3 linked regions of the Drosophila melanogaster genome follow. The protein of the gene in region 3 interacts with the protein of the main gene of each other region in a pairwise test. Each region holds a gene or a part of one and is shown on either strand. Other genes may lie near its edges.

Region 1 (4,622 bases), about 24 Mb from region 3:
CAGCTAAAAAGGACAGCACCGCTGAAGGCCATTTCGTTTTTCCATAGTGCCACAGCACGGTCCACAGGGTCCGCAAGGGCCACAACGAGGTCCACAGGGGCCACAGCAGGGCCCGCAAGGTCCACAACAGGGTCCACAACAGGGTCCACAACAGGGTCCACAACAGGGTCCGCAACACGGTCCACAGGGTCCGCAGCAAGGTCCGCCCGGTGCACAGCCCATGTTTTTTTTTAATTTCTGAGAACTAAAAGAAAAGCTATTATACCAACAATTTTCTTAAATAAAAAACTACGTACAAAGTGCTGAACCTAAAAAGCTTGGAAAAGAGCTCAAATTTTGATGTTCTTGGGTTAAGGGAAAGATGAAAACTGATGTTTGCTTACATAGAACTTGCACAGGAAAGTAGAATATAGATTCAAAGCCTTCTAGATTTAAAATAAACAAATGCAAAATTAATAAAAATTTTATATCAATGCCCTAAAAGGAATTTAATTTTGTTCTTTAGTGAATTTTACAATAACGTGCTTAAGAAAATGTCCTGCCGTAGCAAGCAGTACAACTGATCCAGATGGGAACAACAAAGAACGTCCTAGTGAAGCTCGTCGGAAGGCAGAATCAATCACCTTGAGACGTCATTCGTGTAAAATAAAATGGTATTACCAAGAACGTCTCAACCATTTCCATATAGCAACTTGTGCTCGCAGCGCAATACAATCTGCTCGCTTAGTATCCGGCTAGTGTTCCTGATCAAGAAACCTACACCCACATACATATTACGAAACGCATTCCTATTATGTCAACGAGTAACGCCGAGTAAGAGCAATGGTGAACTATCCCAATGATAACATGGATCTGCATTAAGATACATATATATATATTTGTGGCTTTTAACTTTCAGGTGTTAGTTTAACCATGGTGGGATTGTGGTATGGTTTCACAAATCGATTCGGCTGCCAATTGCGAGCATTTAGCACCAACAGCCACCGCAACAACTGCCAAATGGTCCGCAACAAGGTCCACAGGGTCCACAGGGTCCACAGCAGGATCCGCACGGCCCACATCGGGGTCCACAAGGTCCACAGCAGGGACCACAGCAGTAATATCCGCAGCACGATCCACAAGGTCCACAGCACATGATTAATTCGAGAAGTCTAAAATAAACGAAATAAATATGTATACTATTTTAACTTTACAATAAACATTTTTACCAACGGTCTTTAGAAGCCAAAAAAAAAAAACAAGTATTTGGGACAAAACAACAAAATTTTGATGCGAGCAGCACAAGGGTCGAGATGAGAATGATATATTTTCCGAACTTACAAGGTTAGGTGGGTCTGACAGGTCAAGAACGATTTCCATAGCCTACTATGAATTCGAATTATGTTTATGTACAGCGGTTGATGGTTAAAAATAGTTATTATTGTTATAGAATTATTGTTATCGGACATTTGTCCGTTTGCAGACAAATACTATTATTGAATGAGGTTTAAATTCACGGTTGCAGGTTTTATACCCGCCACTCGTAGAGTAATAGCTATGCTATAGTGAATAGAAGAAAAGGTTATTTATTCTTGAGCTGGATCACAAGCCTAGTCGATATGAACGTAGGATGTTCCTCCGCCCCCTCTAACGATCGCAATCCACCAAGAATTGACAATTTTAATTTTCGCAATTATATTACATAAATTATTATTGTCACGCATTTGGTATCCATAGCTAAGACAAAGGTTGCACCATTTAGAAGAGAAAAACCATCGGAAAAGGTATTTTGAAATTCTTATTTTATTGACTAGGCCCGCGAGCTAAGAAGAGTTTATCCGCATTCAGTCCTAAGTTCCACTTTGTGGTTCACAGGAAAAAGATATTTTACATGTTGTGGTTGTTGTTCAGCACCCGCAATATGGCCTACAAGGTCCACAGCAAGGTCCACAAGGCCCGCATGGACCACAGCCCCCGCAGCAAGGACCGCAAGGACCGCAAGGGCCGCAAGGCGCACAGCAAGATCCACAAGGACTACAGCAGGAACCGCAAGGACCACAGGGTCCGCAAGGTCCGCAAGGACCGCCGCACGGGCTACAGGGTCCGCAGAATCCAAGGGGTCCGCAACACATGATGGTTCCGTAAAGTTCTAAGAAAAATTTTGTTAAAACTTCGCATGCTTACACTTTGAGAAATACTCACTTTGAACCTAACAAAGAAATAACTTAGGACGAAAAAATATTTCGATGATTACAGGCCGAGAACCAAAATAAGAATGATGGAAACCTGACTCACAAGTTGGTATATGAATTTGACAACTGTCGAAAATATCCATAGCTAACTAGATTATGGGTTTTGGGATACCAGAATATAATAATAATAATGAATATAATTTGTCGGATCATATTAGCCTTGAAATTCTCATGACTGCTGTCAAATGAAGCTTCGGCTAATTTGGATCACATTCAGTCAGTTCTCCGTTCCACCTTCAATAGTTAACACCTAAATTTTCGGTTCCTTTCGATTCCGGTTGGGAAATATCTTTTAAGAAACAAAATCATGTACATGTACGTCAACCCGAATTACGTTTTGGTTGGGGTATGTATTTATCGGTCTCGTAAGTCGAGTGAATACTTTTAATATGATTTATCAGGGCCCCTGCTGTGGCCCCTGCGGCGGATGCGGACCCTGTGGTGGATGTGGCCCCTGCTGTGGTGGGTGTGGCCCCTGCTGTGGTCCTTGCGGAGGATGTGGACCTTGCTGCGGCGGCACCAGCAGTTTTTGCGGTTGCGGTCCTTGCTGCTAAACCAGTTGACCCGGAAACCTGTCGGAATACTTCCGGGAACTATGTAAATCTCAAAAAATAAACTGTGTGGGAGACAACAAATTATATATTTTTGTTTCTTATTGAAATTAATAATGTAATGTCCTAGTCAACGTAGCTTGGTAGTAGCGGCATCGAGTAAATCAGCTTGTTCCAAAAGTTCGGATGGCTTCTCTCCAGATAGGTGTTAAATGCCATGTAGGTCCTTAGCTCGCTATCCAGACTGTCGAAGTTCTTCACGTTTGGATAGAGCACCACTATCAGACGCTTGCACCGATCGCGTGAGGTGGCGTGGAGGGCCAGTCGGAACTCGAGGCGACCCCAAGTGGAATTCATAAAGTTCTCTGTCATGAGGACAATAATGCGCCGCGAGTCCTTTATAGATTGACCAATGCAATCGGGAATAGATTCGCCCGCCAGCCAGTCTCGCAGGTAGAAGCAGAGTTGGAACCTGGGCCTACCACGTTCCAGCCTATCCACGAACTCCTCCAGCAGAGCCTCGTCCTTATGGGTAAACGCCAGAAAGGCATCGAACCTTTTGTCCTTATCAAGTTCCCGCTTGGCTGACAGACTGAGACACACACCGTGCTCATAGAACCAGACCAGGACCGGTTGTCTGAACCATATCAAAAAGTTTAAGGCAATGATCGTGGCCACTAGGGAGATCGCGAGTGCCAAATAATAAAAGAGGTCAGATGGACACACAATATGCTGATTAATCGAGACTAGCTTCTCACCATTACTGCACTTTATCTCAGTGAAGTCTACTATACTTGAAGACACACTCTTCATGAAATTTATCTTTTCTATATCGTTGCAAGAACAAGACCAGGGATTGTCAAGCAAATGCAGCTTTAACGATCTGTTCTCGATAGAAGAACGATTCTTCTGTGACAGGGCCGTAAGGTTGTTATTCCTTAGGTCCACATAGGTAACCCTGCTTGAAAGTGAAGGCATCTGTAGAAGTCCTTCTCCTCTGCAATCGACAATAAATGATGGCCATGTCAAGTTATCCAAGCAGCAGACACAAACATCTGGACAATCCGTTGGAGATATATTGCAACGTTTCAACGTGACGTCATACTCAAGGGGTTCGTGATCTCTCAAAATGGAAAGGACTGATCTCGACTTACAGTCGCAATTCCAGGGATTCCCAGAAAGTTTAGTTTTAATTGAATTTTTCTTAAGGTAACTCAGGACTTTGTCATCCAGGGTAACGAGATTATTGAAACGTAGATCAAGAAACCTTAGTTCCTTTGGTAGCATTGCGATGGTTATGTTTGATATATTATTTTTAGATAAATGCAGTTCCATAGGACTAGACATATTTTGTTTTCACATAAGACGACTATTTCTAGCAACGATATCGGGAAAGTTATATACAAATTTATTCCTGCAGTCTATTTTTAAAATAAGTGAATCGCGGCTATAACAACACTCGCACTTATGAGGACAGGGGGCTGCCATTTGACGAATATAAAATAGATCATACTCCCGATTGACGAATATTAGTTTTCGGTGAAGCCATTCCATATACTTATAGATGCTCATAATTGTATTAAGGTTGTTTAGTTTGCGATGCATACTTTGCAACAACTGTTCCTCATTGATCAAATAGTATTCTTGTTTTCTCACACCTAGCCAAATGAAGTGCTTTCCCAAAAACTTCAAAAACCCCTTAGGTAATTCGGTTAACGAGTGCAAGAACATAGGTTTCATTTCAGCACTTTTCATCCGTATTATCAATTTGAGATGTCTAAAGAAATTTAATAACGGCTTGTCATCACAATGAATAGTCCATTGATTGCCTGTTTGCTTA
Region 2 (6,778 bases), on a different chromosome or scaffold from region 3:
TCCTGGAAACTCACCCAACAAACAAAACTGAGGAACCAATGGGAGGATCGCCCGATTACCCGGCTGATGGGCCCCAGGAGGACACCACAACTCCACCCCCAGAAGAAACAACCTTGGCACCACACAAGCCCCCAGTTGCAGATCCAGAACAGAAACCCCTAAGCTGCTATTCCTGCATGTTCTGCAACAAAACGATCACCAATGAAACAAAGTCAAACTGCGGCCCGATACCTGGCAAAAGGAATGGATGTCGCACCATACTGCTCAACGATCCCAATGTCGTTCCGGGGAAGAAGTACTTCCTGCATCGGGGCTGTGTATCCGAGTTAGATATGGAGCTATCTCGCTATTGCGCCGAGAATGAGAAGCTGTGTCCCACGTGCTACGAGGACAATTGTAATGTTCACAACATGACTGAATATGAAGTCACTCCGGGCTCTGCAGCAGTCACCCATCATCCGGGGGTGCTATTCCTTATCTGGAGCATCGGTTTGGTTAGCTGGCAGGTGGCTTTTTAAAAATCCACCCACGCTATTCTGAGTCATAACAATTAAAAAGTAAATGGAGATTGGCATACTTAAAAATCGATAGGTATGACTAATACTGAAAATCGCAGATTATATCGCTGTCTGTCTAGATAAATTAGTTTATCTATGAAATACATAAGCCCAATTAATATAAATTTCTGTTACGAAACTTAATCTATTTGCAGCGCGTGGGGATTTTCGTTTTCTTTCTTAAATAGTGAAATATACTGTACTTAATATGCAAATGTATATAAAATAAAGCATTTCAAGGCGAAACATTTGATTGAGAACATAACTAGTACTTATATTACAAGATAATTATTGTTCAGCAGCTGCTTAATGGATCAGGGATACTGGGAACGGTTTTTAAATTTGGTCCCTTGAGTACGTTTCCTGAAACCATATCATTTAGAGGATATAAAATGGCTCAACAGAACCTAGACTGCAGTTGGCTAAGTCATCGAAGCGTGTCTATAAGCACGGATCAGCGGAACCAAAATTGAATATATCTAGAAATTAAATACGTTTTGTTTAAGAATGTGTCTGCTTTCCAATAATATTATTCTACTTACTATACTGTCAGTCCTCGAAGTCCAGGGACTTTACCAGCAGCAAACAAGTACAGTGTTACCCACCGTAAAGTCCACTATGAGCTCAGACCATACCACCGGAATGGAGGAAAGTTCGTCACCTGTCGAGGAAACAACAACGCTTTCTCCGCCTATAAGATGCCTCAGTTGTAAATTTTGCTCACCCAATGAGGGGAAAACCAGAACTAGGAAGGGCAAAAAGATGTGCCACATAAAGTTAGGCGAATTGAACGGTTGCGTATCTATGTACTTCAACTTCAACAGCAGTGCTGGAGGACCAGATGGCTTTATGGTGAGAAGCTGCATTTCCGACATGGACGAGAGTTCACTGGAACACTGCGAGAAACATGCAGAACTCTGTGAGAGGTGTTTCGAAGACGATTGCAACTATGTGGAAATAGATAAAAATGGTTTGGCCACGAATGCAGGATCGCGAATAATATACTCAAGTCTAATGATCTTCTGTTTAGCCGGCTGGCTCTTTAGGAGTGAAAAATGCAAACTTATGATTATATTATAGGCCTGTTCAGCTTAATAATGGCAAATTGAAAACCAAAATTATGGAATTCGGCGAAATCACCATCGTCATGTAATGGAAAATGTAATTTGAGTTACCTAAGAATGCTACAAATACTTTCTGAGACATTTCCAACTGGCTCTTCTAGTGCACCCAAACAAATTTCTTCGAACTATTGTTAATATAAACTCTCATTTTGATTGATGCAATAAATATACACACATATATGTACAAAGTATATTATTAATGGTACTGCGGTTGATAAGGCGTTGTGATTATTTCTTTATTTGATAAGGCCTAGCAGGTTGAAAACTCTTTTACCACTAGCCATCAATGAAAACAGGGTTTTCCAAGGACATAATTACTAAACTACTGTGAAAGAGTAATTGTTTTATTAAAATGATTTATTTGGGATTATGGAAGTGTTCTTAAAATGCTTCAGCTCCTATAATTAGGTTATGTCTTTTTGTCTGTTGCTTTGTAATAGTTAACATTACTCATAGACCCAGGCACCCGGTAATTTGATTGGATCATCCAACTACGTGGAGGTGGTTGGATTACAGGGCACTGCGTAGAGCGATCACCACTCCCGTCAGAAGGCCGACCACGCCCACATTCCTGAGTGCGCCTGCTCCATTGAAGGGTACCTTGTTGCACTTGCTCTCCGTACACAATTCGCACTGATGGGCCTCCACTTTGGCATTGCACTGGTACTGCATCAGGTGGCTGGCAGCGGTAAAACATCCTCGCACTCCAAGTTCATCTGGGGGAAAATGTTGAAAGGCAATTGTTAGGATTTTTGCTGGCATAATAATAATGCAATTTGGGAATACCCTTTTACATTATAAAATAAAATCTTTGAAAACTATAGCATTGATTCGCTGTGCTTAGACTTGGTACCAACTTACTCCAGACTCCGCTGTAGCACGTTCCATTGGGGCAGTTGATCAAAGGGAGCGTGTCCGGATATTTGGCCGACCAGCAGCCGGAAACCTCATTCGAAATGCATGTAATGCACTGGAACTCGCCGGCAGCCACATTGCAGCCATTTTCGGAGCAGGAAGTGCAGGCATTGGTTGTAGAGCAGCCAGCCTCCAAGGTGTTTAGGCACCCTCGGGTAACATTGGTTCCTGAGGTCATGGTATAACACCCGACTTCCTGGTTGTACTTGGCCTGTCCGCAGGACTTCGCATTGGTAGCAACCTGTTGCTCCGCACAGTTCTCGCAAATGATACAGGAACCGGCCTCTCGTTCGTAGGTCGGACTATTGCAAAAGTCGGAGTTGCAGACGAGGCAACTGGGATCAGTGCTGTCCGACGCACACTTGATTTCCGTGGTGGCCGATGTGCAACCACGGGTCATGTTGCTCGCAGACGTTCCGGTGGTGAAGCACCCGGCATCGATTTGACTACATCCCGCGACCAAGGTATTTGAGACCGCATTGCAGTTCTCTCCTGAGCAATTATAGCACTGGCGACGATTGGCGGGGAATAGTCCCACATTGCACAGGGATGCCGAGCATGAGGAGCACGTGGATTCCGTTCCAGCAGCACAGGGGTCACCACATTGACGGGTCACCGTCTTGTTGTCATTCAACTGATTCACGCAGACCTGTCCATTATTGGGGCACACTGCATTGTATTGCGTATCCGTCACGTTGGTCGTGGCGCAATTCGCTTCGCCGAGGCACTGCTGGCACACCAAATTCAAATTGCAATTGTCTTCCTTGCAGGTCGAGCAGGATGGTAAGGTGCACGCAGTGCCATTAATCAAGCAGCCACGAGTTAGAGTTCCTATTGGGATACAGAAAATCAATAACTAGATGCAAGGGAATATGGTTCAGAGCAAAACTTCGTATGATTTCTAATATAAACTTATAATGATTTCTAATATAACTTATATATTCCTTATAAGTTGAGAGCCTGCAGATTCTAGTGGCGCCTAAGCTGTGCTAATTTCATTCAGATCATTTTCACGCCCACTCTAAAGCCCACAAAGCGTGCCAGATTCTACTGATACTTCAACAGAATGTTTAAATGTGTACCTTAAACTCCCACAAGCTGAATAAAGAGGTATCTGATGGTCGAGTGACTCCACTTTAGCGTTCTCTTCGTTATTAAATCAAATTATACGCAATATTTAAATCTTAGACAACAACACGAAAAAGCCAGGTAGTGCAGTAACTGCCAAATGAGTCACAACATCATAAACCTTTTTCGATCCGCACGAAATTAGAAAAGAAAACAAGGATCAATAGCTATCAAAAAGAAAAAGAGATAATCGCTTATCACCTTTGGTTGCACTGATCGATAAGAGGGCCACTACCCCCGTCTAAGAATATGAAATAGTCGGTCATGAGTCATACAAACCCACCTGCGTTAATAAGAGTATAGCATTCATTATCACACTCTATAGAAGTTTGAGTAGATGGACTCGTTAAACAATTTCCAGTGTCATTCGTCGTCGATGTGCACGAATAGCACTCTGCAATGGCAATAATAATTTGAAGTAAGTCATTTGAAAAAACTCATCCAAAATGTGGTAACCTACGGAGGGCTGAGGTGCTGTCCAGCTGGCTGGCAATGAAAGCTGCTATCACAATCATACACAGGCTGTATTCTCTCATGGCTCTCGGTTTTCTATTCTTTCTGGCTTCTCAACTGAAATGTCGGACCGGCTGGATCGACCACCGTTTTTTAACTGGCTCCCTCACTGTTTGGCCATATTTTTTTTACCCCCATTCGCATAATCAATTTCACCTGAACTCACTAACACCTGCCAAGCTCTTCTCCGCATGCAGTGGTTATCTGCTCTACACACATATATATGTTTGTATACATATATATATATATATATATATATATGTACAATCGGAGGAAGTCAGTTCTCTTTTAGCTGATAACTTCAATACCCAGGTGTAAATGTGCAAGTGTGTGTGTGTACAACGCTGTTCACATGCGATGATAGTTACCACAAGCCTGCATTTACTTTGGAGCTTTTGCAAAAGCTGAAAAATTAACCCATGCTGCCAACGTTCTTACCGTATTTCCTTAAACGAATATACATCAACAGTAACTTCCTGTTTCCGATCTAGCCGGCGGATAATTGAACACAATTATAACGATAATTAAATACTTTAATTAAAATTTGGTTTGCCTTGGCTGTACGGCAGTTATATGATATATTTTCTTTTGATTTTCATCAAATTAAAATATGGTCAAAAACTGTTGTATATCTCATACATATATTAATACTTACCATTATTTTTCGATTATCCCTATAACAGCAATATGATATAGTGGTCCAACCTATATGTATACTAACTGAAATTGAACGAAGACAAACATGACTGTATCGACTCTACTGTTGAATATACGAATCTGAATGAAATCAATGTACCATTTGCAAGGGTATAAAAATAAAAGGCGCCACCAAAAACTGCATGAATAATCTCAATTTCCAGATTTTACAGGTTCGACAAACTTTCCATTTGATTATGGATTGACTATAGTTCCATTGATAAAAAAAATAATGTAATTTGAACTAACAAGAAAGAACTCAATTCCTATCAGATACCCAGATTTAATTGAATAAATACACATTTGTAGGGTCAAAAACACTTTCTTGTTTCATAGTTTTTAACCCTTATATTCTACGAGGAAAGTGTACAATTATATATGTAAAGCTGTATTGCCCAATTTTCTGGCTAATAACATATAAACAATGTGCCTTAACTACAAGTCATATATCTTAACGATACTTGAGGATTGAAGTGAGACTTTTGTTTATATGTGAACGTTCGTTCTCAAGTTTATAATTTCGGTTACTCGTTCTTGAACTTATGTGTTTGCTTTTAAGTTTTTTTTTTTTTTATCGTTCGTTCCTAATTTAATATCGAAACTTAATTTTTCTCTCAGTGTCTTAATAAAAATTATTATTATTTATTGTATTTGGGCGACTTCTTAAATTCTGCACATGCCGGTGTTTTATGTTATTAAGGTTTAAGTTGAAGTCTAGACAAAATGATTCAATAAAACAAAGTACAAATAGTAAGTACATACTTTTATATCTTTTTATCTTTAGCATATCATTTAAGGTTTTTTTGAACCAGACTGGTATTCAACATAAAGCCATTATCTTCAAAAAATATAACCGAAATCTAATCTGGGTTATCTCCGGCGAATTTAGCACCGAGAGCTAATCATGTTGCTCACACTCAGTACCTTTAAGATCTTTTCTACGCGCGGACGTATTGCTGTTTAGTTGAATTTCTGGCATTGCAATTTAATAAATTAGTTCGTTGGAAAGCATGTTATACGTTGAAAAGTGCAAGTGACTTCAAGCCTAGAAGGTATAAATATTTTTGATCATTCGATCCGACTATGTCTGTCCATATAAGCGTCGAGATCTCGGAAACCTACGTCAACAAATTACAAAAAGCTTTAGATTCTTGGTAACGACTTCTTTGCAGAAGACCAAAAATGCTGGTCATTATATTATAGTAGAAGTTCAAGATTTTAAAGTGCCAGTGACGTTGAAGGCGTGTGGAATAAATTTTACCTGAGTAGCAGGTATCTGATAGTCGGGTAGCTCGACAATCGTATTCTGTCCCATTTTAGACAAGCTGTTTAATGGCTAATTACTTATTGATTAGAAAATCATTAATTCAAATTTATTTCTTGCTGTCTGGATTGTTTCACTTGCATAATATTTGTTATGTAGCGAAACATAACGTAGTAATCGTAATAAAATGCAGTCCTTTAAGAATGAAGATCTCCCGGAGAATCCTCGAGAACGATCGAATATTTTTTCTGCGTTATCCTTTTGGTAAGATAGTGCAAACGTGCGACGCCAACATATTTTTCAAGTGTGAACAATTTTTTCAAATAATTCAGGTATACCATTCCCACTTTTATTAAGGGGCAAAAGGTCACATTGGGTGCAAAGGACCTTTACAGGGCCTTGAAAGAGCATAGGGCCGGTAAGTGTTTTTGGTGTATATATAATAATATTTTCATATATACATCCTCATATCTCTATTTTGTGCAAAGAGTCGCTCGGCAACAAATTATGCTCTTCCTGGGCGAATGAACTGGAGACCAACAAGAAGAACGCCAGTTTGCTCAGAGTACTCTTTCGTGTTT
Region 3 (6,631 bases):
CCCTGCAAGAATCAAGCCATTCCCCAATCGCATCCCATGACAGGTTCCTCAATAGCCGTATATAGCACCTCGTGGCTGGCATATTCTCCTCCAGTCGGAAGTGATTTGCCCCCAAGTCAGACATTAACACTTTAATCAGCTGCTGAGTGGGCTGACAAATCAAATTTCTGTCTAATGGTCTGCTTAGCGAGTATTAGCCGGCGTTTCATGTTAATGTCTTTGCTATACAGTGTGCACTTCGATTAAATCCGATGAAAAGAGTATGAGTTCTCAGCTTGTGAAGTTCCCAGTGCCTTGGAGGGTATAAATTATTCCGAGTGCCATTAAGTCGGCAGGTTATGCAAATGCAGTAGTGAAATAATGTAACTTGCTATTTTAAGCCATTTAAGCCATGCAATTACTGAATTAAATCATGTTTTTTTCTCAATAAACAATTAGGTTTTAGTGTTTTGTTAAACACCCTTTTCAGGTGTTTTCTTTGCAAATCCGTTACTGTTGCATTAGAACCCTAACATCGTAAGTAAATTGTGTAAATCTCATTGTGAGCTTTTAGCTTCAACACAATTCCTTTTCACGAGTGTTCACTGTTCTGCGAAAACTTTGGCAATATGCTGCTCCAGCACTGATTTATGCAACTTCAACGGCATTTGGCCGAAACGTTTATTGTCACATTGCTTGTTTTTCTCAGCTCTTGGGTCGCACACTCCACACACACACTCCCAATCGTACACCCACATACATTTGCAGCTATTGACGCTTATTCATGACTTTGGCTGCTGTTTTGCGAGAGGGCATCATAAATGTCGTCTTAATGCTTGCCAGTCAGTATGTTTTTTGCCTTCTGTTTGTTTAAGAAGCGCAAACAGTCAACTCGGCAATGGTATGGGTATGGTATATCCAAGGGGGCGGGCTGTATCTGTGTGGATTAGTGGGCGTGGTGGGGTTGAGCATGCCTTTGTGCGCTTATTACACGCATTTTTGACTTTAATCCTCCGAAGTGCTGGCGAACAAAGCCGAAATAACAAAAGGTTTACATCGCTGCCTGTTGGTTTTCAGCTTATCGCATCAGCGACACTCACACACGGACCTCATGTGCATGTGGGAGGGTCGGAAAAAGAAGGCGGAAAATGGGAAACCCCCCCCCAAAAGCAAGCTGCAAATGAAAATCTTAATTATACATGACACCAGCAGAAGTGAGAGAAAGCCACCGCCAGTGATTGAGAGCCATTCTCTGTAAAAGTGTATTCGCAGTCGTGTCTGTGGTTGTAAATTGTCGCCATCTTTCACTCAATTATGGCAGTCACACACACACACACACTCTGTGTAGGTGCCACAACAATGGCTGATGAATTAATTTAATTAAAATCCTTTCATTTCTCTGGTTACCCTTCACGTTCGTCCACCATTTCCTTGCATTCCCAGCGGGTATTTATAGTATCTTATTGTTACCGAAAACATTATTATTGTGTGGAAAACTGGCAAGCCATTAAGATTGATCGGTATCTCGGCACATAATCCGAATTTTAAAGTTTAATCTTTAATTCTTGGCGATTTGCTTTGTAAGCAACTTATAATTTGCTCTGATAGCCATAAGCTAAGTGTATAGAAAGGCTTACTGTGACTGTTATGAAAGTAAGAGCTCTCCATAAATGTCCAAGCATACAGCTAGTATGAAAAACTCTTTGGGGGAATGAAGACCTCGGCATGGCACCCAGGCAACTATCCAATTAACCCGGCTAGTGTGAAAATCGCTCGAGGCAGCAAAAGAGCGCGACACATGAAAGAGTGAAGAGGGGGGAGTGGGGAAAAGGGGAGAATGTCAGGACAGGATGGGGACCGGGCTGAGGACTCACCTGAGCTGTCGCTCCTGCTCGAAGCGCGGAATCCAGACGGGCAATGTGAGCTGTTCGCGTGTGGCGTGCTTCAGAAAGTAAACCATAGCCCGGACATTCTCGTGCTGCGAACAAAGGACATACATGGGTGTCTATTCCACGGGGCCAGGAATAGGGTCTTTCTGCCAGTCTCACCTGATCCTGAAAGTCACTGCGCCAGCCGGCGATGAAGTGCGGAGCATGTGGTCCAAACAGGGCGCCCAGGAAAATGCGCTCATATGTCTTCTCGCACTCGTAAATGGCCACTGAATTGCACAAAAAGGGGATAAATTAGTCATGGGAACAGGAAAATAGTTAAAAGTTAATTTATATAAAACAAGCCACGTTTAATAACATTTCGAAGTGGGTAATGCCATAAACCAAATTTGTATACACATTGTGACCGATTTTCCCGCGATGCAGGCAAATTGTCGGTAGTGGAGAAAGCGGTTAAATAATGTCATCAAATCGCAGCAGCGCAGCCATAAAAAAGCTAATTACGTGGCTGCACTTGTTGCTGCTTTGGTTTTTTGGCTTTCGGTTTCGTTGGCTTTTTGGCACAGCCCAGAAATGAAGTCAGCGGAAAACGGAAACGGCCACAATGTTTGCCAAACCAAGGCCAGCGGGTCCAAAAGGCTGGAGTCAGCAACAAAGCAACTTGGTGAGTGAGGACAGGACAAACAAGGAGCAAGTTTTATTGCACACGAGTCCAGATTCCCTGACAGAGGCATGCCATTAATTCCAGGCACTTTTCCTGCTCGCAAAAGTTTACGCAGCCTTTTAATTAGAGGCAGCCAACATGCGTACGCCCCAAATAACTTGCAACACTTTGAGGCACTTTACAAGTTTTACGATGCAGCAACAACAGAGCAACAGAACGACATCAGCAACACTTTCTTAACGCAATTAGCAGAAACACGTGATTAAAGTGAAAACTGCCTGCTTATGGGCGTAATAATCCGATGCGATGGGATGATATTTATTAAAGTATGCAAAGCACACAGCCACGCCCAAAAAGCAAACAGGAAAGTCTTGCCACACACACACGCACACTCACTCGCATACGCTTACGCACACATACGCATACATATGCATTTAAATTAAATTATTTAGTTGGCCCGACTCCACTTACCCAGCAGCTTGACGACCACCTCCGAGTCCCGGACTCCCCAATCCCAGCAGGTGCGCAGTCCGATGTACAGGATGTTGTGATACTTGCCCATGAGGCAGACCTGGGGAATACGCATGGAATGGAGGGTGTGGTGAAGGGGCTGAATCCCAACTGAAGTGCTACTTTTTAAATTATAAATAATTGCCATATGAAGAGATGGCATTTAAAATGGAAGAAAATTAAGTTTAGCAGACTCTGCCAAAGGAAATTAAGCCCGAAACAACTTTCCATATTTATTTACACTCTAAAAGGTCAATTGGATCGCAGCAGCAGGATATACATATTTATGCATAGTTTTAGTACTTTTCTAACCGTTTTCTAGAAAGCTTTATTAAATTCCACTTTTATTCGACTCAAAAGCAAAGCAATGTTATTTGGCTAATTAATCATTGGTTTCCATTCATAAGGCTTGGTTTAAACATTAACATTTATTTAATACGACAACGAAATAGACTGACTTGGCTTTTGTTCTAATTATTTATTTCGTTTTTTTAAGTACCGGAAACTAATTGTCAAATCATTATTAATTAAGTTGAGCTTTGCTAAAGCCCAGTGCTAGTTTGTATGGACTCTTTTAAGTAAATATTTATTCATATTAACTATTGAAGTTTGGCACACAGAAATGCCACATTGGCAACACTCGATTTGTACATAAAGCTCACCTGGCCGTTCTGCTCCTTGGCCATTCGGTGGTACCTCATGGCCGCCGTCACCGCGATGGCGGCCACCTCATCCGTCTGCGAGTTCTGGCCGCCGCTGCAGCCCTTGATGATGGAGCTCAGGTGGTCGAGGACATCTCGCCGCGACTGGCGGTCCTGCAGTCCGTTGCGGGAGATCTGCTCGAAGGTGTCGTCGAAGAAGCACTCGAAGATGTAGTCCATGACCAGATGGCGGCGCTGGGTTCGCCGGTTCCGCTGGTGACTGGCCCTATTGGCAGGATTCCGACGCAGTTGTTCCCGCACCCGCAGACGCAGCCGTGCCCGTGACTCAGTTTCCCGGCGGAAACCGTAGAAATGCCGTGGAAATGGCAACCAGCAGCGAACCCACACAAATTGGCTTTTTAATTGACTTACCAGCCGCTGGAAAGCCTGTAGCAACTGCGAAAGCATATTGCAAACAAAATTTAATTCACTTTAAGTAGGCAAATATTTTCGATTGAGCTGAATTGATGATTCCCTCCAAAGAATTGAAATTCCGCTTCAAAAAAACTCCCGCACCGCTGAAGCCAAAGAGTCGCAATACACAAAAAAGAGAGAATTTCTTTTGCGGGGGTGACTCTCTTGCGCTATCGATTTTTTGCAGCTGGCAATGATGTGCTGGGAGAACTTTTGATAAACATAAACAACTCATAATGAGCATGCGGAATATTCATTTTAATATTTTTAAGCATTGCAATCATATAAGAAAATAATTACATAGTATGTAAAGCTTATTCAAAAGCTGATATACAGTTCAATTACTTTTTAGGCCTCTTTATTTCCGTGAAGCTCCCAGCAAAGCAATTGGCAAACAGGTGTTTGATTACCAGCCGACAAGTATATTTCTATGAGCTCTTCAAAAACCGAATGGAACTCGAGGACTCCATTGAAACTGATTCGATTCGATTCAATTCGATTGGTTTTTGCTAAACAGTCTATTGCACTTTGAAATTTGCTGGCATTTTTCCGAACCATTTATTCACTGCACGCAGCGCACTCACACAATTTTCCACCCCACTCATCAGCTGCCGCTGGAAAACTAAACAAACGAAGTCCAATTTCTAAGAACGCTCAGCTGTTTACCTAAGCGCTCACTCTCCCGCTTTCTCTCCACTCTCTCTTTGTACAGAGAGTAGCGGAGGTATTAAATACGCGTTTCATGAGCATAAAGCTAAATTAGATTCTAAATTGGAATTTTCAATTTAAAATATATAGTACATATGTATGCTCTCACATTATTTTTGTGCTAAATGGGTAATGTTTGGCGATAAGCATAAAATCAAATGGCGCATAAAAACGCAGGTTTTTGTGATTTTGCAATATTAAACTGAAAAATAATTGGTTTGTCATTATAAGGATTATGCTTGATTCAACAAAAATATATTTATTTCGAAATAAATACTGATGGTGTGCTGTTTAATGTTTCAGTGCTTTTTTCGGTTTAAATCATTAATGAATTTGATTTTACAACGGAAAACTGAAAACTAATACAAAGTCACTCGATACTTCATTCCAGAGTGAAACCGATATTATCATAAAGCGAACCGCTTTAAGCTATCTTTTTAGAGATTTACTAATCCCCCTTCAATGAATCCATTACATTTTCAAGGGGATCATTTTGAAATAAATATTGCAACAAATATTCATATACACGGATTTAAATCTGTAAACAATAGGAGTGTTTTCTCGAGCTTTAGCCACGTCAAATGTATTTTAAAACACGACTCCAATTGTCATGTAAATTTCTCAGCTACAAAATAAATTCATATTTTAAATAGCAATTGTGCACATTGTTTACATGTTTTTCTATCACCCTTTGCCAATTAATATTTGTTTATGCGGGACATATCAATTTTCCCATACATTATTCAGGCCCACTCATTCCATTATTCGCCGTATTTGCACGTTTAATATTTGGGCTGACAATTAAGCGCTGGGTAAATATTTAAGCACTGCCATAAACATTAATTAAGAACGCACACCAAGGGATCCAGAGATGATGACTGGGATAATCATGTCTGGTAGGGATTCCTCGGGTCCTTCGCCTTAATCGCATATGCAAATAAGTGTCGAAGGACATTCGGCACAGTGTAATTAACTCAGGTCCATTAAAACGGTGCATATTTGTGCTGGTTACCCAGGACAACATGGCAATATTTTCACCTGAACAGGCTCACCTGAGCGCTAATTAAAAGGGCAATGCAATTGTGGCCATATGCAGGCTATCCGATGCCGCAAAGGTAGCGAATTAATTGAATTAAATTCGTATCCAATCAGCGGCGTATTGGCCGTAAATATATGAGTCCGAATAAATGCAACAATGTGTGGTTGCACTGTGGTCGAGCCAAGCGGAAGCGGAAATGCACACAAGCCTGGCGAAATTTTTATTTCGCTTCCGTTTTATGCTGCACTCGATTGTGCGGGCACATGGAGCACAATAACCGAATTTACATAATTTCTGGCGATGCAATCTAATAGCTGAATAAGGGGTCTCCCACTGTGGAAATTACGATGGCAATTTATTGGTGTGCAGATTGAGAAAAAAAAACGACCCCCGAGATATACATCATTCAGAGTGCATTATGGCATCAGACCAAGTCCACAACGGAACTCCCTAACTCGAATTTATGTGACTGCCAAAGGAGTCACATCTCAAATGTTAAGCACTACTATTCTTTGCTTACTGAATTTGCTTGCATCTTAAAGATATAGCTTATACATAACGTTCTGTCTTTATTTCTCTTCGTAAGTGATATTAAAACTCGGTGATTACTTTGTAATTTTGGATAGAATTATTTACTGCGCTACTCTACTTAAGAAAGTTTTATTTACGAAATTTCAGTTTACACTATACTAAACCCCAAAGAAGAATAACAGTTGAGTTTACACAG

Evidence for each region. The genes of interacting proteins can lie anywhere in the genome.
Region 1: the proteins of stops (region 3) and Mst84Db interact in a two-hybrid assay, tested with the Drosophila melanogaster proteins (one large-scale study listed by BioGRID).
Region 2: the proteins of stops (region 3) and CG10650 interact in a two-hybrid assay, tested with the Drosophila melanogaster proteins (one large-scale study listed by BioGRID).

What each region holds. Positions count from the first base shown.
Region 1 is NT_033777.3:7,363,395-7,368,016, forward strand, and holds Mst84Db (Male-specific RNA 84Db), read right to left. Parts: upstream 2,234-4,622; 5' UTR 2,182-2,233; intron 2,129-2,181; 5' UTR 2,112-2,128; coding exon 1,887-2,111; 3' UTR 1,766-1,886; downstream 1-1,765. Other genes in the region: Mst84Dd (Male-specific RNA 84Dd), read right to left, coding at 4-222; Mst84Dc (Male-specific RNA 84Dc), read right to left, coding at 968-1,135; Mst84Da (Male-specific RNA 84Da), read left to right, coding at 2,539-2,577, 2,633-2,785.
Region 2 is NT_033779.5:18,991,595-18,998,372, forward strand, and holds CG10650 (uncharacterized protein), read right to left. Parts: upstream 4,341-6,778; 5' UTR 4,261-4,340; coding exon 4,185-4,260; intron 4,119-4,184; coding exon 4,008-4,118; intron 3,428-4,007; coding exon 2,543-3,427; intron 2,398-2,542; coding exon 2,192-2,397; 3' UTR 1,766-2,191; downstream 1-1,765. Other genes in the region: CG15169 (uncharacterized protein), read left to right, coding at 1-518; CG46465 (uncharacterized protein), read left to right, coding at 1,065-1,637; CG31792 (uncharacterized protein), read left to right, coding at 6,385-6,461, 6,530-6,615, 6,686-6,778.
Region 3 is NT_033777.3:31,164,323-31,170,953, forward strand, and holds the start of stops (slow termination of phototransduction), read right to left. Parts: upstream 4,283-6,631; 5' UTR 4,152-4,282; coding exon 3,705-4,151; intron 3,104-3,704; coding exon 3,004-3,103; intron 2,138-3,003; coding exon 2,028-2,137; intron 1,958-2,027; coding exon 1,854-1,957; intron 1-1,853.